Linked DNA regions of Cricetulus griseus. The protein of the gene in region 1 interacts with the protein of each later gene in a biochemical or structural test. Links are inferred from orthologs where the notes say so. Each region holds a gene or a part of one and is shown in the gene's direction. Other genes may lie near its edges.

Region 1 (3,458 bases):
CTTCTCCCAGGCACCCCTTACCTTCTCTCCCCCCCTCCCCTAGATCCACTCTCCCTTCAGAAAAGAGCAAACCTCCCAGGGATATCAGCCAAACATGGCATAACAAGATGCAGTAAGAATGGGTACAAACCCTCATATCAGGGCTGAACGAAGCAACCCAGTAGGAGGAAAAGGCTCCCAAGAGCAGACAAAAGAGAGACATCCCACAACCAATGTCAAGTGTCCCACAAAAACACCAAGCTAACATGTATGTAGAAGACCTGTCATGGACCCATGCAGGCTCCTTGATTGCCACTTCAATCTCTGTGAGCCCCTATGAAACCCATGTAGTTGATTCTGTGGTCCATGTTCTCCCGGTGTCCTCTATCGCTCTGGCTCCTACAATTATTCCTCTTGTTCTTCAATGAGGTTCCCTGAACTCCAAGGGTAGGGACCTGATAGGATCAAGAGATGATAATTCTATCAGAAAGAACCATGTTCCAGTATAACTCCAAGCCAAAGATTTTGCTGTTTCTTGTAGATTTCCCAATAAAGGTCCATAATCTCAGCTTATAAAAGTAAATTCATACTTTCCTCAGTAATCAATCAAGACAAAGTATTTCATAACAGTAGTGTCTTTTTTAGTAAGTGCTGGGCTTGTGAAATATATACACATATGTTTGTATACATTTATATTAATTTCTGGAACATCTCTTAAATGCTGTCTTTGCCAACTGGTCTGCTCTTTGCTATCAATTACCAAAATTTTATTTCAAGAATCATGTAAGTATGTATGCATGAGTGCATGTAGGCAAAGATGGATTGAAATATTGGTGTGCTACAAAATCCATGTTTGTAATGTATTTCACTTTGCAGATGCTGTGAGAAAACCATGGAAGTTATGCGCAGTTCTCAGGAAACTCTGCTAACCATTGTAGAGGTAAAGTATGCATAAGGACATCTGGATTCCTTTGCCAGTCAGCCTGCCTTGTTAGGAAGCACTCATTTGAGGAACATTGCTGCTTTTTATGTAGAGTGGTGCTGGGGCAACAGAAAGGGGCACAGTGGGCATTTTCTTACATCACAGAATTTGGGGTTAGAAATGGTTCTAGGCCCCTCATGTTTCTTGGAATATTATAGCATTGTTCAGTAATCTACAGTTTTTAATAAATAAATGAGCACTTTGACATCTTAGACATCCCTCTTCAGCCTGAGGAGATAACTCAGTTGGTAAAGTGCTTGCCACACAAGCATGAGGGTGTAGGGAAAAAGACTCTGAGGGTACAGGTATCCAGGGTCTCTCCCAACATGAGGGCCTGCGTTTGGAACCCCAGAACCCATGTAAATACATAGCATAGGAGCATGTATATTTTGTAAATCACTCCTCCTGTTCAGGTAGGGTTGAGAGTCATTTGTATTTCACTGGTACTCTTAAGACTGTGATAATAAGGGTAGAACTATGTCCTTTAGAAGATTCAGTTAACAGTTTGCCATCGTGGTCTAAGTGACAGTATTGCATCTGAGAAATGATTCTATCTTCACTTATAATACCTTATCATTTTGGAACATACCTATCCTGCAAAGACACATGAAGTTCTGTGTTGCCCCTGGTAAATCAGTCCAAATTTCTGAGAGTCATTTGCTGTAGTTTTCCTAATACTGAAGAATAGTTTCCCATTCTCCATTGCTATCTCCTGCTCTAGGGCAGTGCTTCCCAATAGTGTCTTTGGACTTCCCAATTCTGAGGTCACTCCTTTCAAAGTCAGTCCCTCAGTGGTTTATCAGTGGCCCTGGAGGACCTCAAAGCCACATTACAAAATGAAAAGCTTTTTATACTGCTGATCTAGTACATGTCCTACAGTTAAAATATGCTAAAGACATTTTACCGTCGCAGCATGTAGATGCTGCAGAAACCCAGTAAAGGTGACAATCAGAAAGGATTCTAGTCCTGTGATGCTGGCCGGGCGTTGCCTGGCCTGCTGAATCATTTGCCTCTATAACCAACTATTCCACTTACTACTAAGACTATCTAGGCCTAATTAAAAAACAAAAATAAAAACAAGAAATGCACGCAGGGAAGTTGACTGTTAAATAAATTACATCCTTTTGTTAAAGCCACCCAGCTTGGGAGCTAATTAATAGAAAAAGAGCCACTGTAGTGGGTAGTAGGTTGGTAGTCAAAATGTTAGTTTTGATGATGCTAAAACTCCATTACGGAACATGACTTAAGAGTCACGTGAAATAGACCTTGGGAGAGAAGGGAGTAAAAGCCACGGTGACAACCTCCTCCAACTAAGTCAGTGTCATCCAGCCTGACACCCAACCCTGGGGGAAGAGTGAACTTGGGGTGGGTTGAGAACCTTGGAGCTTATCCTTAAAATAGCTTTCCTCTGCACATGTATATAACTTGACTCCCTCCACCAGCTACTTGTGATTAGTATTATTTTATGATGTGGTGGCTATTGTTTTTAACTACATAATCAAAGAGCACATCGTTGTTTTTTTTTTTTCTTTCTAGGTCCTTTTGTATGATCCACTCTTTGACTGGACTATGAATCCTTTAAAAGCTTTGTATTTGCAGCAGAGGCCAGAAGATGAGACAGATCTCCATTCTACCCCCAATGCGGAAGATCAGGAATGCAAACGAAGTCTTAGGTGGGAGATTTTAGGAGGGACCTATTGTTAGTTACTTAGATTTTGTTATTCCCAAGCCCTTAGCTGTTGTACCTCATTGTAATCTTCATGTTTTTTGTCCTTAGTGATATTGATCAGAGTTTCAACAAAGTAGCTGAACGTGTCTTGATGCGGTTGCAAGAGAAATTGAAAGGCGTGGAAGAAGGCACTGTGCTCAGTGTGGGTGGACAGGTGAACTTGCTTATCCAGCAGGCCATGGATCCCAAAAATCTCAGCCGACTTTTCCCAGGATGGAAAGCTTGGGTGTGACCTTCAGCACAGGAATTACCCTTAAATTCAGACTTCAAAAATTACATCTCAGCCACCATATTTGGATAGGAATTATTTAAGTTAATGACTGCATTTGAACCAGTTTTCTACTTGATTCATCACCACCCAAAAATTGGCATTTCTGCTCTCATATGTTAGAAGTAATAGTTACTCAAGATCTTCTCCTAGGGTAAATGTTGACCCTTAAGGTCATGCTTGTACTGTTTTCAGTAGGATCACCAAGGTACACAATGAACTGTAAACAGCGGGAGCAGCAAAGTGAGCTTTACTTTTGGTGTGCATTAGGACAAGTTCATAACTTCTACTCTAAGAAGTTTTCAGTTAAAATATGTTCCCAAGAGCTGGGCACTGGTGGTGTACACCTTTAGCCCCAGCACTCGGGAGGCAGAGGCAGGAGGATCTCTGTGAGTTCAAGGCCAGCCTGGTCTACACAGTGCAAAGCAATACAGAGAAGACCTGACTCAGAAAAAAAAAAAAGAAAAAAGAGAGTTCCCAGACAGTCATTGTGTGTGCAT
Region 2 (3,500 bases), about 39 Mb from region 1:
GTACTGCTGCTCCGAACCTTTTACATGGGTGCTAGAGATCTGAATTCAGGTCTTGAGACTTGTACAGCAAGCATCTTATGGATTGAGTTCTCCCCCCAACTCCCACCACAGAAAAGCATAATTTTAAAGAACTTAAACATTATGGGAGAATACTATTAAACATGGGCAAAGGAATATTTTGCTCAGAGGAAATCATAGTAGAGTCATTAAGAGAGCCTACACACAGCACACTTTTTTCTAGTAAAGTCAAGAAATACCTTTTTTTAAAAAAGATTTTATTTATTTATTATGTATACATCATTCTACTTCCATGTATATCTGCACACCAGAAGAGGGCACCAGATCTCATAACGGATGGTTGTGAGCCACTATGTGGTTGCTGGGAATTCAACTCGGGACCCTTGGAAGAGCAGTTAGTGTTCTTAACCTCTGAGCCATCTCTCCAGCCCCCAAGAAATACCTTTTGAAGTTGCTGAAATCTTAGTTAACCAAGCACAGGAGAAAAGTGTTCTGAGAAGTAAAAGGTTAGTGAATTTTAAGAAAAAAATTCTTTTAAAGAAGTAGAGGAAGAGGAAATGAAAGCATCCATTCTGCATTGTAGAAAAATCAGAGTTCCAGACTCTAACTGAATGATGTAGCAGTAGTAGAGATGGAGTAAGTAGGGAGATTCCGTACTGGTTTAGGATGTAAACTGCATGACAGATGAACAAGAGGTAAGGATGATAGCTTATTTTTCATTCAGGAAAAGACTGCAAATGATGTTTGTTACTGCTGTAGGAATACAGAAAGAATTAGGAAAAGACAATGACTTTTGTTTTTAAGATAGTTTAAGATATCTGTAATACATCTAAACAGGTTTCCTACAGGTAGTTGGAGTTGATGTCTAGAGCTCAAAAGAAAGGTGTGGCTTCATCTGTATGGTAACTGAAGGTATTGTATATTCCTTGAACATGGTAGAATATGAGTTTAAATAAACACCCATTTATCAAGTAACAGTATAGATCTTGAGATGTCACACAGAATTCGTCATACTCCCCCCAAAACACCTGACTCTCCCTTACCCTACCTCTTTATTTTCCCCTTACCCCTGCTCCCTCAACACCCCCAAAATAATTTCACATAAACTATCTTAAAATGTACTATAGTCCTAGAACTTGTGATATTACTTTATCTTTCTAATCCTCCTTTATTCTACTTTTAAATATTGATTTTAGTAAGATTTCTTTTTGCAAAGGTAAAGAATTTATCATTATTATATCTGTTTCAATTTTAGTGTCTTAAAGACTTTTCTGCATGATCCTCTTGTGGAATGGAGTAAACCAGTGAAAGGACATTCCAAAGCACCACTGAATGAAACTGGGGAAGTTGTCAATGAAAAGGTTAGTAAAAGCTACAGTTTGGCATAAGCTAAAATTTCTTTCTCTTTAAATGAGATCTGATTCCAAATATTACTGTTGGCAAGTTAAATATTTATTGTAAATGGGCATTTCCTGTCCTGACTGCCTGGTCCCAAATAACCAACTCAGAGGCTGAATATGAATTATAAATGCTCAGACAATAGCTTAGGCTTGTTACTAGCTACCTCTTACATTTAAATTAACCCGTATTCCTTATTTACACTCTGCCACGTGGTGGTTTCTTTATTAGCATGGCACGTTCATCTCCTGCTCCTTCTGATCTTCCTGGCAACTCCTCTGACTCTGCCCTTCTTTATTCCATCATTCTTAGTTTGGCTTTCCTGCCTAACTTTATCCTGTTAGCTAGTAGCTAATCAGCTTGTTTACTAAACCAATTACAGTGACAAATCTTTACAGTGTACAAAAGGATTTTTCACAATTGATGACTCTGAAATCTAAAATTAGTTATAACCTCAGAGTTGACAAAAATACATTGAGGAATCCTTTTCTCCTCCACCCCCACTTTGATGCTGGGTTCAACCCAAGGCCTTGTGTATGCTAAGTTCATGCACTAATTATTTCAACACCACCAGGCTTCATTCTCATTCTGAAAATTATTTTTCTAATAATATCATTCTCAATTTTGCTTCAGGTGTGCTTTTTCTTAAGAAGCTGTAAAGAATTCTAAATAGTTTAATAAATTTACATTAGTGCATGCAAATGGAATTTTAAGTAAATTTATCAGCCATTAAAACATTGCCACCATTGTAAGGATAACTCCTACAGCTGCCTGGGTTCTGCCGCCGCCTTAGGGCCCCCAAATAACACACAAGAGTCTTATATTAGTTACAGTGTTGCTGTCCAATGACTAGGATCTCTTATTTGCTAGCTCAGTCTTAATTATCATCCATAAATACTAATCTGTATTTTTTTATAAGGACTTACCTTACCGAGGACACTGGCCTTATGCGTCCTCTCTTCCTGGGATCACATGGTGACTCTCTCCCTTTCCCATTTCCCAGAATCCTCCTCTCATAGTCCCACCTAACTTGCTTACCTATTGGCCAACAGTGCTTTATTTATCAACCAATAAGACAAACATATACACAGAAGGACCTCTCCCATGACACCATCTTTAGAATCTTCTTAAGAACTAACATTTGATTTTTGTTTGCTTTATTTTGTTTCTGATAATGGAAAGGAATAGAACTCCTGGTCTCTTGTCTACTAAACAAACACACATTCCACCACTGAGCTACCCACTAGCCCTCAAAACATATATTTTAAATTATTACCTTTCTGGAATTGGGATGTACAAAGTTACCTGGTGATTTTTATTGTAGAGAAACATGTCCCATTAGTAGATGCTAGCCATTGTAAACATCAAAATCAGCATCTCAAGTTAACTGGATTTGTTTTATTGCCACAAATGGGATATTGTTTAGTAAAACAGCACTAACATTAATAAGTAGTGAGAAAAGTAGACACTCCAAATTACCAACATTACCTGTTATTGGGTCTGTAGCCTTAACAATTTTCTATATCTTTTTAGGCCAAGACCCATGTTCTTGACATTGAACAACGACTGCAAGGTGTAATCAAGACCCGAAATAGAGTAACAGGATTGCCATTATCTATTGAAGGACATGTGCATTACCTCATACAAGAAGCTACTGATGAAAACTTACTATGTCAGATGTACCTTGGTTGGACCCCATATATGTAAAATAAAATTATTTCAAAGACTATATTAATAATCTAAAATTCATGTGTTAATCAGTGGTATGTCTTTAAATCTAAAGTGCAACATACGTTTACTTATGTTCTCAGAGAAACTAGTATTTGATTGCATTTAAAATAATGAATTCAATTTTTTTTTATTTTGGCTTTTTTTTTTTTTCAAGCCAGGGTTTCTTTGTGTAGCCCTGGTTGTCCTGGAACTTGATTTGTAGACCAGGCTGGGCTTGCACTCACAGAGAAATGCATTTGATTTTTAAACACGGCTTTCTTAGTGCATACTTGCATATTACAAATTGAGAAATAGAATATTGTATTCTAATGATCAAAAAACAAGGAACCAGCCAACCTAATTTCATTTTATAG
Region 3 (3,500 bases), on another chromosome or scaffold:
AGAAAAGTTAACTATTGTATCATTCAAAAATGTCTTCTAGGTGAGGCTGTTAAGGCTTGTGGCCTTTCAGTTAATCTTGTCTGAATCCAAAAGCAGTCTTAGGAAACCTGTAGCTTCACCTTTTAAACCTCCAGTATAATTGATTCTAGAGACAATGTGATTTCTTTCTCTGAGCTGCTTCTGAGGTGTTAATTGGGTCTTCCATCATGTAACATGTTTATTCAGTCCTTAATCCTCCTTTAATCAAACTTCTGTTTTTGGAAGGAACATTAGAATTGATCACTGTACTGGTCTAAATTGCTTCTAGCCATACAAGTTTAACAAGGGCCTCCCCTAATTCATTCCCATTTTAGTGGTATTATACAGGTGCAAAAATAGAGGACTGACTTCACAAATAAGCAACATAGATGCATTCATTGTTCCTTACACCGATTTTTATCTTGCCCTTCTTTGTGAACTAGTAATTGGGATTCCTAAGCCTTATGTTTTCCCTTCTTTACTCAGTATGGCCGCCTGATTGACCTCTGCCAGCCTACACAAAAGAAGTATCAGATTGCTGTGACTAAGGTTTTAGGAAAGAACATGGATGCTATTATTGTAGACTCAGAGAAGACAGGTCGGGATTGTATTCAGTATATTAAGGAGCAACGTGGAGAGCCTGAGACCTTCCTGCCACTTGACTACCTGGAGGTAAGGCTTATGGGGGGCAGTTAAGTTAAGGCAGTGCTGAGGGACCCCTCACCTTGGCTTTATATTAATAAGATTCTTCACATAGGTAAAACCTACAGATGAGAAGCTCCGGGAGCTGAAGGGGGCCAAGCTGGTAATTGATGTGATTCGATATGAACCACCTCACATCAAAAAAGCTCTGCAATATGCTTGTGGCAATGCCCTTGTTTGTGACAATGTGGAGGATGCCCGACGCATTGCCTTTGGAGGTCACCAACGCCACAAGGTATGGCCCTCTTTTCCCAGGTTGGAGCTGGACAGGTATAGTACTGGAGATTTCTATTTTCACCATCTCCCCCGCCTCCTCTCTCTGGTGTGTATAGACAGTGGCACTGGATGGAACCCTTTTCCAGAAGTCAGGAGTTATCTCTGGTGGAGCCAGTGATCTCAAGGCAAAGGCACGGCGCTGGGATGAGAAAGCAGTAGACAAACTGAAAGAAAAGAAAGAACGCTTGACAGAGGAGCTGAAAGTAAGTGACAAGTAACAGTGATCCTTCGGAGTAGGTTCCTAAGCTCAGGTTGGCCACTTACCACATGGCCCTTTTTTCTTGTCCTCTTTAGGAGCAGATGAAGGCGAAACGGAAAGAGGCCGAACTACGTCAGGTGCAGTCTCAGGCCCATGGGCTACAAATGAGGCTGAAGTACTCACAGAGTGACTTAGAACAGACCAAGACAAGGCATCTTGCCCTGAACCTCCAGGTAGGGCTTGGTCTTCATCCCTGTTCTCCAAGGCCATCCTAGGTTGCACTGAGGATGGGGAATTATCCACTTTCCTTCCGTTCTGTTCAAGATAGAAGAGCAGAGAGTCAGACACTGGGATGGGGTGGGGGCATCCAGATCTTCTGTCATCTCTATTTATTCCATTAAGCAACTTATTTAAGTTCTTTGTCAATTTTCTCATCTTCATCTACCAAATGGAAATTATTGTCTGTTTTGTATGATTAGTGCAAAGATGGAATTCGTTAATATCTATAATGTTCTTAGAACGGTAGGCACTCAGTAAATGTTAGGTGCTATTATTAATGCAGTTCATTCAATAAATATTGGAACTTCTGAAAGTCAATTGAGCTGGGCGGTGGTGGCACATGCTTTTAATCCCAGCACTCAGGAGGCAGAGGGAGGCAAACCTCTGTGAGTCCAAGGCCAGCCAGGTCTACAGAGTCAGTTCCAGGACAGGCTCTGAAGCTACAGAGAAACCTTATCTAGAAAAACAAACAAACAAAAAAAGTTAATTGAGAGTGAGCAACAGGGCCAGTGTAGTGGCATATGCCTATGGTCCCAGTACACTGGAGGCTGATGTGGAAGATTAGAGAATTCAGGGCCACTCTGAGCTATGTAGTGGGATCACATCTCAAGGGAAACAAACAAAAACAGTGAATTAGAAGAATTTCAGTGTCTATGGGTTGGGGTATATTAGTATGTTCTTTGGTAATTCTACATTTTCCCAGTTTACCCAAGCTAGAGGTATTACGTAATACCTAGAGTCACCTTCTTCTGAAAAAAACAGTCCAACTTGTAAACTATATTTGACCTAGGGGTTATCAATACAGGATTGTGGACCTACAACTAATGATGTTTACTGTGTGCCCAGCCTTAAGGATTAAAGGTTTTAGAACTTGACTGGGGTATTGATGCTAAGTCAGGCTTTCTCAGTGGTTGCTGACCATGGGGCTGGTACTGGCAAGGAAGTTCTTTTCCTCCACAGATTCTAATCTCTTGTCTTTCAACCTGTTGTCTGTAGGAGAAGTCTAAGCTGGAGAGTGAGCTAGCCAACTTCGGGCCTCGCATTAATGATATCAAGAGAATCATCCAGAGCCGAGAAAGGGAAATGAAAGACTTGAAGGAGAAGATGAACCAGGTTGGTAGAGGGTGGACCATGCCAGCATGTTTATTAGGACAAGACTAGGTTTAGAAGTAGGACTTCAATTAATAATGCCTCTGCCCTTCCTGACTTTTCCCTCAGGTGGAAGATGAGGTGTTTGAGGAGTTTTGTCGGGAGATTGGTGTGCGCAACATCCGAGAATTTGAGGAAGAAAAGGTGAAGCGGCAGAATGAAATTGCCAAGAAGCGGTAAGTGAAAGATTGTTATAAGATACCGGGATGCATGCCTACAGCCTGACATCCTCGAGAGTCATGTGTGTCCTAGGGCAGTGACCAATTCTTAGAAGCATACAAACTTATTGTAGGGAGGCCAGAAAGAACAGTGAAATCAGGTAGATAATATGTCAGGATAGTGGGTAAAAGTGCTAGCTTTAAATCTGGTTTACCCAGATTAAAATCATTACCTTGAGACAGTGGTGCCTATCTTGTGGCATTGGGGGGAGGATTAGATGAAATAATCTTTTTTTTAGATTTATTTTATATATTTTATTACATACACAGTGTTCTGTCTGCATGTATGCCTGCAGGCCAGAAGAGGGCACCAGATCTCAGTACAGATGGTTGTGAGCCACCATGCGGTTGTTGGGAATTGAACTCAGGACTTTTGGAAGAGCAGCCAGTGCTCTTAACCTCTGAGCCATCTCTCCAGCCCCTAGATGAAATAATCTTTGTGAATTATTCAGCATAATAAATAGCATCTACAAAGAACAATAAACATTATCTTTTGTTTTGCTATTATCCTTGTGTATTGGAGGTTAGGAATGAAAAGAAGTTCCAGGCTGGAGAAGTAACCAGAAAAGAAGCAAGCCCCTCTCCCTCATTTTTTGTATATTCTATTCTATATTATGTTATTATATTATACTGTATTTACCTTTGTTTTTTTTTAAGGT
Region 4 (4,072 bases), on another chromosome or scaffold:
CCGCCTGCCTCTGCCTCCTGAGTGCTGGGATTAAAGGCATGCACCACCAAGGCCAGGCAATTTTATTATTATTTTTTATAAAGAGGTCCTAATATGTTGTCCCAGCTTACCTGGAACTCCTGGACTCAAGCAATTGCACTGCTTCAGCTTCCTTCAGCAGCTGGAACTGTGGACATACACTACCTCGATCCAGTTTATCATGCTTTTATATACTTTAAATAAAAGTACCCATTTTGGGGCTGGAGATATAGCTCAGTGGTAGAGCATTTGCCATGTGTGAGCCCTAGGTTTAGTTTCCAGTACCTAAAATCCCATGTAACATTCCTTTGTATATAATGTATATATAATGGTATACTTGGACCTTAATTCTTTGTCATGACCAAAAGTATAAATATACACATACATAATATTTTTGTTTTGTTTTGGGGAGCAAGGTCTTACTGTAACCAAGGGTGGTTTCTATACCCCACTCTTTTGAGACAGGGTCTAACTAGTAGCTCTGGCTGGCTTGGAACAGACTACATACACCAGGCTGGCCTTGAACTGACTCCTGCCTCCCAAGTGCTATAATCAAAGGCGTGTGTCACCCACCATGCCTGGCCAGGTCTCCAACTCTTAATATTCCTGCCTTGGGATTTCAGGTGCTGGAGTTACAGATATATGCCAACATCTTTTAATCAAAAGTTTTGTGTGTGTGTGTGTGTGTGTGTGTTGTTTTTAGACAGGGTTTCTCTGTGTAGCCCTGGCTGCCCTGGAACTCACTATGTAGAACAGGCTGGCCTTGAACTCAGAGATCTGCCTCTCTCTGCCTCCCAAATGCTGGGGTTAAAGGTGTGTGTCACCACTGGCTGGCCCCCAAAAAAGTTGTTTTTTTCCCATTGATAGTACTAAGTGTTGAACATATGGCCTCACATAGGCTAGCCAAACATTCTGTCACTGACATTCTTACTATCCATGCCCCACCCCAATATTTTTACATGCTTCAGAATGACAGAAAAGCATCACCTCATGGTGGCGCACACCTTTAATCCCAGCACTCAAGAGGCAGACACAGGTGGATCTCTGTCAATTTGAGGCCAGCCTTGTCTACAGAGTGAGTTCCAGGACAGCAGAGAAACCCTGTCTGGGAAGAAAGAAGGAAGGAAGGAAGGAAAGGCAGGCAGGAATCACCCCCACGTCACTCCACGTTCCTCCAGGGTTATCTCGTTATTTTTTCTCTACAAGTGTGTGTAAACCAATGACCAGAACAATGATAATGTGTTTCCCTCACAGGTCATGGAAAACACCCAGGTTATTGACTGGGATGCTGAAGAGGAGGAGGAGACAGAAATACCCAGTGGGTCCTTGGGGTATAGCTTGGAGCCTATAGGGCAGCTGCGTCTCTTCAGTAGTACTCATGGACCAGAAAGAGGTCAGGAGATATTGGGAGCTGAATGAGTATTGGGTCTTGTCTTCTCCTTAGAGGCAGTTGGATCATTGGTAAACCTTATGTATGTTTCTAAGAGGATAATAATTGTTGTACTAGGGATGACAAAGAGGCCACCTGAGTTGACTGTTCCAGGCGGGTACCCTGTACTTTCTGGGAGTGTTTTTCTTTTGTTAGGAGAAAATGAAGAGCTCCGAATAAAAATAGAATGTGGGAGCTGAAGAGATGGTTCAGGGACTAAGAGTGCTTACTGCTCTTGAAGAGGACCTGGTTTAGGTTTGCAGCACCCACATGGTGGTCAAAACCACCTGTAGCTCTGGTTCCAGGGGATCTGATGCTCTCTTCTGACCTTGGGTACCTGAACATATATGGTGGACATAAACTCATGCAGGTGCACACATATACATAAATAATGAGTAAATAAAAAATTTATTTATTTTGAGACAGGGTTTCTCTGTCTAGCTCAGACTGTCCTAGAACTCAGAGCGATCTGCCTGCCACTGCCTCCTCCTGAGTGCTGGGATTAAAGGTGTGTGCCATCACTAAAGGGCATAAAATTTTTAAAAGGTAAAATACATTGTGGCCTAGAAATGGATATGTAACACAACTGAGCAGTATACTTACAATGATTGCGATGGTTAGATTTATATTGTGTGTATTGTTTTTCTTCGAGACAGAGTATATATGTAGCCCTTGCTGTCCTGGAACTCACTATGCAGACTGGCCTCAAACTCACAGAAACCTACCTGCCTCTGCCTTTCAAATGCTAGAACTAAAGTCATGTGCTAATATGCCCAGCCTATATTGTGTATTTTATTACAATAAGAAACTCCCTTTGGGCATGGTGGTGCATGTCTGTGATCCCTGTACTCAGGAGGTGAGGTTGAGGATAACCTAGGCCACATAGCAAGTCCGAAAACAATCTGGGTTACATAGTGAGACCCTGGATCAAAAACAAAGCAAGGGCAGTAGCTCAGGGAAAGAGTGCTTAGCTAGCATGCATGAAACTGTTTTCGGATCTGTTGGAACAATACCGATGAGGTGAGTAGATAGAATATTACAGCAAAGTGATGTATTGTGAATGCTCTTCTACGCTGGTGTGCCCATTGTTCTTAACCCTGTGAGAGCTTTGAGTGAGCAGTAGGTACCATCTTCATTCAGGCCAGGACTCTGCCCTTACTCTTTAATGTTTCTTCTTCTTTTTTTTTTTTTTTTTTTTTTTTTTTTTTTAAGACAGGATTTCTCTGTGGCTTTGGAGGCTGTCCTGGAATTAGCTCTTGTAGACCAGGCTGGTCTCGAACTCACATAGATCCACCTGCCTCTGCCTCCCGAGGGCTGGGATTAAAGGTGTGTGCCACCAACGCCCAACTTAATGTTTCTTCTTGATCCTTAGATTTCCCACTCTACCTTGGCAAGAATGTAATTGGCCGAAGCCCCGACTGCTCTGTGGCCCTGCCTTTTCCATCCATCTCTAAACAGCATGCAGTAATTGAAATCTCAGCTTGCAACAAAGCCCCTATCCTCCAGGATTGTGGGAGCCTCAATGGCACTCAACTGGTAAAGCCCCCAAAGGTCCTAACCCCTGGAGTGAGCCATCGTCTGAAGGACCAGGAATTAATTCTGTTTGCAGACTTTCCCTGCCAGTACCGTCGCTTGGATGTCCCTCCACCTTTGGTCTCTCGGGGACTTCTAACTATAGAGAAGACCCCCAGAATACAGGGAGGGTCCCAAACCTCCAGAGTTTTGTTGGCTGAGGATTCGGAGGAGGAAGTAGGTAAGTTTGTGCCTTGGGTGTATGTGTGTGAAGAGACAGGAATGAGGGTGTAAACTGTCAATTTATTTCTTCCTGTTCTTGCCAGATTTTCCTTCTGGAAGGTATGTGGCAAATGGATCAAGGAATCCAACGTCTCCATCAGCAACAGTAGTACCAGAAAGGTGAGTAGCAAAGTACCAGATGCCTGGATCTTTTGTTTTGTTTTGTTTTTAAACAGTCTCTGTAGCCCAAGCTGGTCTTAGACTCCTGGCAGACCTCTGGGTTCAGTATCAGGATTGGGACGATAGGGTTGAGCTTCCTTAACTGGTTTTAGACACCTCGGCCTTTGAATAAAGAGTCGGTCTTGAATAAATGAGGTGATTATCTTGACAGGTGGAGCCGAGAGCCTAGGCATAATTACTTCCTCAGCTGAATTAAATTATGAAGAGTACTTGTGGTGTGCTCAGTGGGGATGGGAAGACACCTGGCAGCAGTGCCTGCTCACTCTCAGGGCCCTCACAGCGGAGTGGGGTGGCCTATCCAGGGAGTACATTCTGTGGGCTCTCTGTCTTTGCAGTGATGAAGAGGGGTCTTCTCCAGCCCAAAGTGTCCGTGGGCCGTCTTTGCCCTTTGACTTGGGCAGTGACACAGATGAAGAGCTATGTCCACAGCCAGCAGTTGGGGAGTCCTCTTCAGTTGCCAGGGATGGTGCTGCTGCAGAGGCCAAGCAGCTGGAAGCTAATGGAGTGACATCTGGTATCCAGCTGGTACTGGCTCAGCCTGCTGAGCAAAAGCTCAGAGATGCAAAAGTCAAGAGTGAGGCTGGCAATGGAGCGGCTGTGGTTGGGAGGGGCTCCACTGTGGGTAAGGACAGCAACACGGAAATGGGTGAA
Region 5 (4,154 bases), on another chromosome or scaffold:
TTGTCTACCAACTAGGCTGCATTCCAAGTCCCCCCTTTCTTTCTCTCACTTTTTGAGATAAGGTCTCACATTGTCTGGCCCAGGCTGTACCTCAAACTCACTGTAACCATGCCTGGCCTCAACTTTGTGGTATTTATCTTGTCTCAGATTCTTCAGTATTAGAACTATGTGAGCTACAGCCCAGTTCTAGCTTTCTTGTTTTCTTTGAAACAGGGTCTTGTTGTGTATCATAGGCTAGAAGCCTTGATCCTCTTGCCTCAGCCTCCCAAGTGCTGGGACAAGTGTGTGGCACCATACCTAGCTTGAGTGTTGAGCTTTGTAAGCAGGCCCTCCCTGGAATCTTAGTTCTGGGAAATCTAGGGCCTCCATTGCAACCAAACAAGTCAAAAGCAAAACTCCTTTCAAAATGCTTCTCCCAAAGGGAGGAAGGTGACCCGGTATGTTCTCAAGTGTGGAGAGAGACAGGCTAGCCTGGACTCCAGCGAAGGTTGGCATACATTCAACAGTATGACCTCAGGCATTTATTCGTCAGCTGTGTGATCTTGTGCAAAACCCTGTCCTTTTCTGAACTTCAGTTTTCTGCTGTTTGTGGTTGTTATTGATTGCTTGCTTTGCTTTGTGGAGATGTAGTCCCACTAAGAAGCCTGGGCTATCCTGTAACTCATGATCCTTCTAGGGCTTCAGCCTCCCCAGTTCTGAAATTACAGGCATTCCCTACCACATGGAGATTGATAGATTCTCTATCCTATTAGACATGACGGTCCTCCTTGCCACTCCCCTCCCCTCCCTACCAAAGTGTTGGAATAGACTACAATTTGAGGACTGTTGGGGAAACGTCTTTGACCAGCCCATCCTCTACAGAGGTCCGATCTTGCCACATCAGATTTACAGTCAGTTTCCAGCTGGCTGGCTAGTTCCCTCTTAGTCCACCACTCCTTTCAAGGCCAGGGATGCGCATTGTTCAGCCACTGCTCTGACTCCTACAGCACAGTGGAAACGAAAGAAGCGTTAAGATGGGCGAAGGATCAGCCCACCCTTACTTTCTTCTAGTAGGAACAGCTGGGGATCGAGAGATCACATCCTAATATAGAAAGCAGGCCGTCTAGTGCGCCGAAAACGCGGTCACCAAATCGGAGAGCTTTTCCAACGTCACCCCTATATAGCTCTTCTCAGTGCGTCGGGGAGGGACCCCGGAACCTAAGGGGCCAACACTGGGGTTCCCGCACTGGAGAGGGCAGAAGCCGCTAGGTCAGCAGCTGGGAACAACTTGCATGCAGCGGGCTGGAGCTGGGTGGGGCCGGGCGGACCTCAAGTCTCAGGGGGCGTGGAGCCCAGGCGGAAGGGGCGGGCCGGGCTGGAGAAGGGCTGGGCCGAGGTGCCGCGGGGCTGCTGGAGGGTCGTGGGCGGCACGTAGGAGACATGTCTGGGGGTAGCAGCTGCAGCCAGACTCCCAGCCGGGCCATCCCCACTCGCCGGGTAGCCCTCGGCGACGGCGTGCAGCTCCCGCCCGGGGACTATAGCACCACCCCGGGCGGCACACTCTTCAGCACCACCCCAGGAGGTAGGCGCGGGCCGGGGTTGGGGCGACCTCCAGGGCAGGAGGGCACCCCGGGATCCGGAGTCGCACGTGCGACGGGGGTGGCGGCGCTCAAGGGTTCCATAGCTGGACAGAACGGATAGGGGCGTCAGGAAGGCTGGAGGGTAACCGTCTCGGTTGCCCGCCTGCTGGGTGTGGTGGAGCGTGGTCTGGGGGCCCGTCTGCAAACTGCGCGCTTTTTCCTGGGAGAGACCGCGGAGTGCCCCAAGCACACAGATAGGCACTCTGCCATGATTACCATGTGCTCAAGTGAGGCCTCTCTGGGTGTCACGACAGTTCTAGGGTGGGTCAGGATGGGGGTCTGGGTGGAGCAGGGGAAGGGCCAGGCCTGGAGATTAAGTTTAGTTGATCTCTCTTGGAATAAAGGACGCCTGCACACTTTTTAACCTTCCCCGGGCAACCCTCGTTTTGCGTTGGGACACTCGCTTATTGATGAAGGCTGGGCGTTGAGGGTGCTCTCTGCCCCAGGAGCACGTCTCGGCCACCTGTGGCATGAAGCCGATTTAGAGAGTGAGATCTCCAGACAGGGGCCTGGCGCTGCGTCCATGGCTGTGCAGAACAACACGTTCCTCGGGTCTGGGGGGAGGGCACAACGCTGAATTCGCCCAAGTGGCGGAGGATGAGGAAGAGGAAGCTGAGTTGGCGCGGGACGGGGCCGGGCTCCAGGAACTAGGCATTCCCAGCTTGCCCCGAGCCCCAGTATAGGCGCTGATGAAACCTACACGCCCGTTTGCATGATGAAATGCTCGTGGCTCACTACTTCCCTCCCATTCTCGAGCTGCTCCCACCCATTTTGCGCTTCTCCCTTCCCTGATCTCCTCCCCCAAGCTTCTCCTCTTACAACTCAAAAAAACAGGAGAGTTCCTGGCGCTGCGCTGAACCTTGGGCTACTGCAGGCGCGTCCAGGCCACATGCCTTTTTTCTCAAGCAGCTGTTCCTATACCAGGGAACACAGCCAGACCCCAGAACCAAGGCGCCGTTGAAGGGATCTTGTAGATGAGTGTCCAGTTTGTGCCTCTTGGTCTTCAGAACAACCCCCCCCCCTTTTTGAGCGCGTGTCTGTTATGCATTGTCACGATGTGTTCCTAGCAAACAGGTAGAGCGGGGAAGGCATTCTCCCTTTCATTAGAAATGGCCCAGGGAAAACTCTGCAGGCTTCTGGTCTCCCTTTCCTGGAGTTCTCAGAACTTTCCTGGCCTCTTCTAGTTCACACTCTTGCACCCTTTCTTTGTCTTGTTACAGAACTTTGTGTTTAAGCACAAACTTGGCAGACAGTTGAGTCCTTACAGGTGAGGCGTGAATCTTTTTTTTTTTTTTTTTTTTTTTATGTACAGGCACTGAGGCAGGCTTAAAGGCTCAGGGAAACCCTTTTTGCCCCCCCCCCCTTTTTTTTTTTTTTTTTTCGGATGGACAGTACTGTTTGTATGAAGATCCACTTCACACTATGGACTGGGAAGTGTCAAAGTTGGCAAATCATGATGTCCCAAAGCCACTGGCCCTTTGTCAGGGTGTTTTTTTTTTTTTTTTTTTTTTTTTTGTGGGGTACACAGCCCATAGCTTGAGGAGAGTCTATCTCATTTCTGCCAAAGCCAACAAGCCTGTTCTTTAGCTAAACAGTTGGATCTTCTTCAAGGGCTATTCCTTCCAGGGCTTCTCTGCCAAAGTGGAGAAGCTTGACCCATTTGCTTCAGAGTTTCTCATTACTTAGACCCCCAATTAAATACGGAGTTGGAGTACAAAGGTCTACAGAGTGAGTTCCAGGACAGCCAGGGTTGCATGAAGATCCACTTGCCTCTGCCTTCCTAGTTCTGGGACTAAAGGTGTGCACCACCACATCTGGCCATCCAGGCTTTCCTTACTGTTACATACCTTTTGGGCTGTTTCTAATGGCTCTGACCTGTACTTCCTTGGAAATCCATCTAACTTTTGAATTTTTCTACATATATCAAGGGCTGGCTGGGAGACAAAGGCCATGTTAATATCCTTGAGATTTGCTATGTCCTCAGGATCTATAGGAGTATATAGCCAATAAGCTTGAAGCAGGACTGAGATATTGCCTAACCATTTTACAGGATTTCCAGGTGAAAGGGACAAGCGACATCCATACATGTGTTATTTGCCTTTTCAGGTCTTTGGGAGTCTGGCAAAGTAGATTCCATCCAGGCATGAAGTCAGGCTGGCATTTCCTGAACTTAGGCTTTTCTGTACATCTTGGCTTGTGATTGACCCTTAGGGGCTGTGAGCTTTTCATGAAGGAATATTGCCTTAAGTCCCTTCAGCTGAGATGGCTTTGAAGCAGTTGTCTTGGGGAGGCCATGAGGGAGGCCAGAATGCCAGGACACAGCAGGTGGCCTGAGCCTCCTCCATTCCTGTGGTCATTATCCCTTTGCTGGCCCACCCAGTTAGGTATTCTGAGAACCTAAGACGTTTCTGAGGGGAGTGTCCTATGTGGGTCTTTAAGATGGTCAGCAGTCCCATAAACAGAATCTTCTAGTAAAGGCCCAGGATGGATGTTTGACCTCTGACGAAGTTGTTGGGGTGCCCGTACCTATTAGTG
Region 6 (3,500 bases), about 75 Mb from region 1:
TTGGACTCAGGACCTCTGGAAGGACTACTAGTATTCTTAATCTCTGAGCCATCTCTCCAGCATCTCCCACCCCCACCCCTTTTGAGATAGGGTCTCACATAGCATAGGCTGACCCTCTGTAGCTAAGCCTAGCTTTGAACTGATCTTTTTGCTGTCACCTCCCAAGGCTTAGATTACAGGCATGCACCACCCTGCTTAGCCTCACAGTTCAGTTTTCATGATGGCTGTGATCTGTGCAGGCTTGATACCTCATTAGTTTATTCATTTTCCTAGTATACTGGCCAACAACAAGATGAATTGTGCGAAGATCAGTTGATGTAGGACTCCCCTCCCCCCACCCCAGACAGGGTTTCTCTGTGTAGCTTTGGAACCTATCCTGGCACTCGCTCTGGAGACCAGGCTGGCCTTGAACTCACAGAGCTCCATCTGCCTCTGCCTCCCGAGTGCTGGGATTAAAGGGTGCCACCAACGTCCGGCTTTTTCTTTTTTTATTCTTAAAAGAAGTATGACCTGAATTGATATTTTGTTTGTTTTCATTTTTATACTCCATTTCCAACAAGATAACTAAAAACAAAAAACAAAAAACAAAATGGTAGTCAACTTTTGCACCTAGGAATAGATTAATAGACTATTCACTTGTTATTTTTAACCTTTACAGTGTTGGAGGTTGAGCCTAGTTCATGCTAGGCAAGTACTGTATCACTGAGCAGCTGTATCTCTAGCTTTCATGGTGTTTCTGCTTTTTTTTTTTTTTTTGTATAGGGATCTTAAAGCCAGTGCCTGCCTTGTGCTATGCAAGTGCCTTGCTCCTGAGATACGCTTCACGTTTCACATTTTCAAAAAAAAAAAAAAAAATCTCTGTAGTGTGTGTGTGTGTATGTGTATGTGTGTGTAGGTTACAGGCAACTTGCAGAAGTTTGCTTTCATTTCATCATGTGGGTTCTGGGGATTGAGGTTGTCTGTAGCATGATAAATAAAAGACCCAGAGACTGATATTGGGGTTCAAGTGTCAGTCTGATGATCAGAGAAGCAAAGCAGCCAGACACTAGCTTTTTCCTCTACCTCAGACCAAAGGGGCGATCCTCAGACTGCTCCCAATTTAATTGCTCCTCAGATTCACTCAAACTGCTCTTCTCAGTTTGGCTAGAGACTAACTCTCAGACTGAATGCCTCTGCCTTTTATATCTCTCAAATACTGGGATTAAAGGTGTGAACCCTGATTCACTCTGGTAGCCCTGTATGGTCTTGGACTCAGATATCCATCTGTCTTTGTCTCCTAAGTCCTGGGATTAAAGGTGTGTATCACCACTGCCTGATCTCTATAGTTTGAGGTTGCTTTGCTTTCTGCTTTCGGGAAAGCTTTAGTAAATCATAAATATATAGTTGTCAGGCTTGGTGGCAAGTGCCTTTACCTGCTGAGCATAACAAAATATATTATTTTGATGGAATTCCTATGAAATGTTATCATTCATTTAAATTTTTATGGAAATAAACAACTTGCATGTCTCTTAGAGTGAGGGGATTTTTTGTTTTCTGGCATTGTGAAATGCAAGGTTATGCTTTTTTTTTTTTTTTTTTTTTTTTTTTTTTTTTTTTTTGAGACAGGATTTCTCTGTGGCTTTGGAGGCTATCCTGGAACTAGCTCTTGTAGACCAAGCTGGTCTTGAACTCACAGAGATCCGTCTGCCTTTGCCTCCCTCTGCTGGGATTAGAGGTTAAGGTTATCCTTTTTAACGATTTTCTGGTGCTGGGTCTAGTGGTGTATACCTTTAATCCCAGCACGCAGGAGGTGGACCTCTGAGTTCAAGGCCAGCCAGGGCTACACAGAGAAACCCTGTCTAAAGCCCTGGTCCAGTGCTGACTTTAAGGAGTGAGCTGACTTTTTTTTTTTTTTTTTTTTTTTTAATTTATTTATTTATACAGCGTTCTGTCTGCATGTATCACTGCAGGCCAGAAGAGGGCACCAGATCTCATTGTAGATTGTTGTGAGCCACCATGTGGTTTCTGGGAATTGAACTCAGGGCCTCTGGAAGAGCAGCTAGTGTTCTTAACCACTGAGTCCTATGAGTTGACACATAATACTTAACTCAGGCTAGGAGTTAGGTGTTGGTAACTGTCCTCATGTGTGTGTGGTATAAATCAATGGCCCTGCCTCTCTTTTTGTACAGTACCTTCATGAAAATGGGATTATACACCGGGACTTAAAGCCAGAAAATGTTCTCTTGTCATCTCAAGAAGAGGACTGCCTTATCAAGGTGAAAACTTTTCATCCTTTCTGTTGCTACTGCTGCATATTTCTGTTCAAAACTGTCTTTTAATCTCTTACATAAAAAAAAAATAGGACTATCAAAAGGTTGAGAATATGAACTATCCATACTTAACAGTTACTGCTGAGATCACAAAGTATTCCACCCATCTGTTGAGCACTTACTGAGTGCCAGTGTATGCAAGCTGCTTTTATGTGCCGAGGGAGGAAAGAGTCTCAATGGACCAGTGAGCCATAGATCCCACCTTTCCTTCTCAGCCTAGCCTCACTTTAGAATCTCCCGTTAAAATAACAATACAAAACCCAACAAGAAGACCCCAAGACATAAAACATGAGGGTGACAACAGGTGCCCCTGCCCCTTAAGCTTTTCTGATGTTCCATGGTGTAGTCAAATTTAAGAGTCTTGGGTTTAAGAAATATGTGTTAGTATTAGAGTCCTAATGTGTTTGTGTCAGGGGTTATGCAGTTTTTATAAGTTTATAATGATGATAGGTAAACCTGTCCCGGCTCGTGGGTCCGGTAATTTGTGTGTCTGAGGTGGACTAAGCATGAAAATAAATGGGCGAGAAAGAGAAGCCAGACCAAGCAGTGTCCTTGTCAAGGTCTAATTTTATTGATTATAAACAAGGAGTTTTTAAAGAGAAGGAAGTAAAGAAAGAGGAAGTGGAGGAGGAATGGATGTTAATTGCTCTCAGGCCAGGGCAGGTGTCCCGGAACCTAAGGGGTGGGGTGCTTGACTAATTGGCGGTTTAGCATGGAGGTCGCCAGGCTTCTTGTAAAGGAGGACTTTTTTATGTCTAACCAGGGCTGGCTCCTGACAGGTAAATTGGAAAAAACTTTGGTTCTCAGGTTCTTAGGCCCAGGGATTTTCTTTTAAGCAAAATTAAATGCTTTGCAAAGACATGAAATTATACACTTTGGGTTAATGGAGAGTGTCTGTATAATAGGTAATCCAGTTTCCATGGCTCTTGGGAATGATTGACTATGATTATGTTTGAATTTCATTTGTTCCATTTATAATTTTAGATCACTGATTTTGGACAGTCTAAGATTTTGGGGGAGACTTCCCTGATGAGAACTTTATGTGGTACGCCCACATACCTGGCACCTGAGGTCCTTGTCTCCAATGGGACTGCTGGGTACAGCCGTGCTGTGGACTGCTGGAGCTTAGGAGTTATTCTTTTCATCTGGTAGGAAACATTTTCTTTGCTTCACAATCTGGTTGGATGAGGT
Region 7 (3,500 bases), on another chromosome or scaffold:
TTTGTGATTTCATTTAAGTGCTAATAATTGTTTCCGTTTAGGATACTGGTTCTCTTGTGCCAACAAAAGGAAAAAGCAGACCAGTCCATGGAGGATGTGAGCTTGCATCAGTTCTTCAGTTAAATCCCTGTAGAGTTGCTAAAACAAAGTCCCTGCCAAACAACCAAGGTGTGTGCATTATTAACAGGCTCTCTCTTTTTAATTGGGTGGCATTTACATTCCTTACACAAAAATTGGGGGGGGATCTTTTTTTTTCCTGCATATATCTGTGTTTTATAGCATTATTCTTACCACTTTCATTTTACCTTGGATTTTTCTGTTCCTAAGCTTTTTTTTTTTTTTTTTTTTTTTTAGTTTTTCGAGACAGGGTTTCTCTGTGGCTTTGGAGGCTGTCCTGGAACTAGCTCTGTAGACCAGGCTGGTCTCGAACTCACAGAGATCCACCTGCCTCTGCCTCCCGAGTGCTGGGATTTGTTCCTAAGCTTTTTAAAAATTTATTTTAAATACTTTAGATGATGTTGTGGATTTAGTTACTTAGTTATTTCTTGCTTCCTTTGCAAAAGCTTTAAAAGTATTTTAACTATTCCATTGGGGTTTGTTTGTTTGTTTGTCTGTTTGTCTGTTTGTTTGTTTGTTTGTTTGGGAATAAAGACATGCACCACCTACCTGTTGCTTCATGTTCTTAAACTACAGTTTGCAGTTGTCATGTGTTATACCTACATATAATACATTGAAAATCCAAATTTTAGAATTTTAGCTTTTAAAGAATTACTTCAGTGAAATACAAATCACTTGTTATGAAAATGTCCATACTTAAAGAGTTGTACAGTCTAAGTTATGATAAACTTCCATGATACTTCCATGCCTTTTCATCCTTCCCAATTCTAGTTATCAATAGCCTAATTTTTATCTCTCAGATTGAATACTGTAGATATTTTAGGTGAATAGAGACCTACTCAGTGTGAAATCTTGTAACTTCTTTTCTTTGGCACAATGTTTTCTTTTAACGTTATTTTACCATTATTGTATATGTGGTGTGTTTCTGTGAGTGTGGATGTGTACATGCCACAGCATATGTAGTTAGAGGACAGCTTGTGCAGTATTCTCTCTTTGAACTTTTACACTGGTTCCAAGGGTCAAACTCAGGTAATCATGCTTGCACAGGCAAGCACCTTTACCTGCTGAGCCATCTCCCTAGCACTGGTGGTGTTTTCAGTTCCTAGCCATATTATATTATGTATCAGTATTCCATCCCTATGTATTGCTAAATAAAATTTCATTATATACAGTCATGTTTTGATCAGTTAATACAAATTTACTGTCATTGTTACCTTTATGAATAATACAATGAACATTTGTGTACAGATTTTTCTGAAAATGGATGTTTACTTTTTCTTTTTTCCCAGTTCCCAGTGTTCTGGTACTGAAATTGTTGGCCCTCATATCAGCTCTTACTTTGACCATTTAAGGGACTTCTTATTTCCCAGAGCAGCTATGCTATTTCACATTAGCATGACTGTGTGAAGCGTTCATCCTTTCCAAGTCAATATCTGTATACACACTTTAGCCTAGTCATCCTAGTCTGTGTGAATGATCTCATTGTTGTCTTTCATTTTTCTGATTGCTGGTTATATTGGTCACTTTCTCATAATGTTAGTGGCAAGTTGAACTGCTGGTGAGATTCTTTGCCCACTTTGAATTGGGTTTTGTTTTTGTTTTTTAAGATTTTTAAATTTTTATGTATATGTAAGTTTTGCCTGTATGTAAATTTGCACCATGTGCCTCGTGCCTACAGAGGTCAGAAGGGAGTATCAGATCCCCTGGCTGGGTTATAAACAGTTAAGAGCCATCATGTGGATGCCAAGAACCAAACCCAAGTCATCTGCTAGAGTAGTTAGTGTGTTCAACTGCTGAGATACTTATTTCTTCAGCTTCCTGAGATATATGTATTTGAATATGTGCTATAGAAATTTTTTATATTCATGTTCTGTGGGTCCCTTTCATTTTAAAGTGAAACAAATTTTCAAATTGGCATTTTAATTTGTGGTTCTCCTTTTTTCCCAAGATGTGCCCTTTGACAATATCCAGTGGAGTGTAGACCCGGGAGCCGATCTTTCTCAGTATAAAATGGATGTTACTGTAATAGATACAAAGGTAAGTTACAAAATTGGACTAAAGCCCACTTGTTTGTTACTCTAGTGAGTTATCAGTCTCCTCTCCTTGAAATACTTCTTTACACATTTCATTTATTGTGTATGTGTGCATGTCTGCATCAGTGCACACCATATGCACGTTACATTATACATGCAGAGGCCAAGCACAACCCTCAGGATTTGGTCTTCTCCGTTTACCATGTACGTCCTGCAGATCAAACCCAGGTTGTCAGGCTTGTACTGAGTCATCTTGTTAGCCCAAGACAGCAACTTCTTAACACTCGCATATGTTCTCTCAGGAAACAGAAATAATACCTGTCCTTCTAACACAATGATAATATTGAAAGGTTAATATTTTCTGGTTTTTAAAGACCTTTGATATAAGGCATTAATGTTGGTTTTTAAATAACAAAGAACTATAGGTACATATTCCATGTGACTTTACTTTTATCAAAAATCACCAATCACATGTTCTAAATTTTTTAGATAGGATCTCATTATACAAACCAGACTGGTCTCAGACTTAACTGTGCTCATGCTTTCACCTCATGGGTGCTGGGAGTGTAGGTGTGTATCACCATGCCTGTAATTCCTTTATGTGTTTAGCCTTAATTTTTAAATTTTTATATTATGTATATGAGTTTTGCCTACATGTATGTTTGTGCACTATGTCTGTCTGAAATTGCCTGCAGAAGTCAGAAGATGGTGTCAGATCCCCTGTAATTGGAGTTACAAATGGTGTGAGTCACCATATGAGTGCTGGGAATTGAACCTGGTACCTCTGCAAAAGCAGCAAGTACTTTTAATTTTAACTACCAGGTCATCTCTCTAGCCACCTTAATTAGCATAGAGAGAGAGGAAGGGAGGGAGAGGGGAGGAGAGAAGGAGGAGAGGGAAAGATATGCTGTCAAGGAATTTTTTTTCCAGTTTTCTATTTTAAGAAGTAACATTTTTGTGGTGTGTGTGTGTGTGTGTGTGTTCGTTCGTTCATTATTCATTCATTCATTCATTCATTCATTCATTCATTCAAGACAGAGTTTCTCTGTGTAGCCTTGGCTGTCCTGGCACTCACTCTGTAGACCAGGCTGGCCTCCAACTCACAGAGACCCACCTGCCTCTGTCTCCCGAGTGCTGGGATTAAAGGCGTGTGCCACTACACCCAGTTTTGATGTTTTGTTTTGTTTAATTTGTACTGGAAATATGATTTTGCTTTATGTTTACATTCCATATAGTTTGTGAAATTCTCCTACTTGGTGGCACATTAAGAAATGATGTAGTTTATTAAAATAACATGTAGCTATGAAGAAACCAAGTTTTATAGTTAAAGTTGTTTTCCATGTGCACTAA

What was found.
Region 2: of the proteins of serine-protein kinase ATM (region 1) and Atr, one has a biochemical effect on the other in vitro, tested with the Homo sapiens proteins (2 studies listed by BioGRID, with this or other methods). The link is inferred for Cricetulus griseus from reciprocal best matches to the Homo sapiens genes ATM and ATR.
Region 3: the proteins of serine-protein kinase ATM (region 1) and Smc1a form a complex in vitro, tested with the Homo sapiens proteins (2 studies listed by BioGRID and IntAct, with this or other methods). The link is inferred for Cricetulus griseus from reciprocal best matches to the Homo sapiens genes ATM and SMC1A.
Region 4: the proteins of serine-protein kinase ATM (region 1) and Mdc1 form a complex in vitro, tested with the Homo sapiens proteins (2 studies listed by BioGRID, with this or other methods). The link is inferred for Cricetulus griseus from reciprocal best matches to the Homo sapiens genes ATM and MDC1.
Region 5: of the proteins of serine-protein kinase ATM (region 1) and Eif4ebp1, one has a biochemical effect on the other in vitro, tested with the Homo sapiens proteins (2 studies listed by BioGRID, with this or other methods). The link is inferred for Cricetulus griseus from reciprocal best matches to the Homo sapiens genes ATM and EIF4EBP1.
Region 6: of the proteins of serine-protein kinase ATM (region 1) and Chek2, one has a biochemical effect on the other in vitro, tested with the Homo sapiens proteins (6 studies listed by BioGRID, with this or other methods). The link is inferred for Cricetulus griseus from reciprocal best matches to the Homo sapiens genes ATM and CHEK2.
Region 7: of the proteins of serine-protein kinase ATM (region 1) and Rbbp8, one has a biochemical effect on the other in vitro, tested with the Homo sapiens proteins (4 studies listed by BioGRID, with this or other methods). The link is inferred for Cricetulus griseus from reciprocal best matches to the Homo sapiens genes ATM and RBBP8.

The regions. Positions count from the first base shown.
Region 1 is NC_048597.1:165,151,163-165,154,620, reverse strand, and holds part of serine-protein kinase ATM, read left to right. Parts: intron 1-855; coding exon 856-919; intron 920-2,497; coding exon 2,498-2,634; intron 2,635-2,738; coding exon 2,739-2,922; 3' UTR 2,923-3,458.
Region 2 is NC_048597.1:204,588,643-204,592,142, forward strand, and holds the end of Atr (serine/threonine-protein kinase ATR), read left to right. Parts: intron 1-1,273; coding exon 1,274-1,379; intron 1,380-2,949; coding exon 2,950-3,123; downstream 3,124-3,500. UniProt on the Homo sapiens protein: Serine/threonine protein kinase which activates checkpoint signaling upon genotoxic stresses such as ionizing radiation (IR), ultraviolet light (UV), or DNA replication stalling, thereby acting as a DNA damage sensor.
Region 3 is NC_048604.1:107,465,894-107,469,393, reverse strand, and holds part of Smc1a (structural maintenance of chromosomes protein 1A), read left to right. Parts: intron 1-504; coding exon 505-690; intron 691-775; coding exon 776-955; intron 956-1,052; coding exon 1,053-1,199; intron 1,200-1,290; coding exon 1,291-1,428; intron 1,429-2,470; coding exon 2,471-2,587; intron 2,588-2,692; coding exon 2,693-2,799; intron 2,800-3,500. UniProt on the Homo sapiens protein: Involved in chromosome cohesion during cell cycle and in DNA repair. Central component of cohesin complex. The cohesin complex is required for the cohesion of sister chromatids after DNA replication.
Region 4 is NW_023276806.1:229,747,714-229,751,785, forward strand, and holds the start of Mdc1 (mediator of DNA damage checkpoint protein 1), read left to right. Parts: upstream 1-1,272; 5' UTR 1,273-1,275; coding exon 1,276-1,411; intron 1,412-2,819; coding exon 2,820-3,200; intron 3,201-3,285; coding exon 3,286-3,361; intron 3,362-3,756; coding exon 3,757-4,072. UniProt on the Homo sapiens protein: Histone reader protein required for checkpoint-mediated cell cycle arrest in response to DNA damage within both the S phase and G2/M phases of the cell cycle.
Region 5 is NW_023276807.1:56,590,486-56,594,639, reverse strand, and holds the start of Eif4ebp1 (eukaryotic translation initiation factor 4E-binding protein 1), read left to right. Parts: upstream 1-1,354; 5' UTR 1,355-1,419; coding exon 1,420-1,561; intron 1,562-4,154. UniProt on the Homo sapiens protein: Repressor of translation initiation that regulates EIF4E activity by preventing its assembly into the eIF4F complex: hypophosphorylated form competes with EIF4G1/EIF4G3 and strongly binds to EIF4E, leading to repress translation.
Region 6 is NC_048597.1:90,646,719-90,650,218, forward strand, and holds part of Chek2 (serine/threonine-protein kinase Chk2), read left to right. Parts: intron 1-2,168; coding exon 2,169-2,255; intron 2,256-3,293; coding exon 3,294-3,457; intron 3,458-3,500. UniProt on the Homo sapiens protein: Serine/threonine-protein kinase which is required for checkpoint-mediated cell cycle arrest, activation of DNA repair and apoptosis in response to the presence of DNA double-strand breaks.
Region 7 is NC_048595.1:224,645,685-224,649,184, reverse strand, and holds part of Rbbp8 (DNA endonuclease RBBP8), read left to right. Parts: intron 1-41; coding exon 42-168; intron 169-2,065; coding exon 2,066-2,154; intron 2,155-3,500. UniProt on the Homo sapiens protein: Endonuclease that cooperates with the MRE11-RAD50-NBN (MRN) complex in DNA-end resection, the first step of double-strand break (DSB) repair through the homologous recombination (HR) pathway.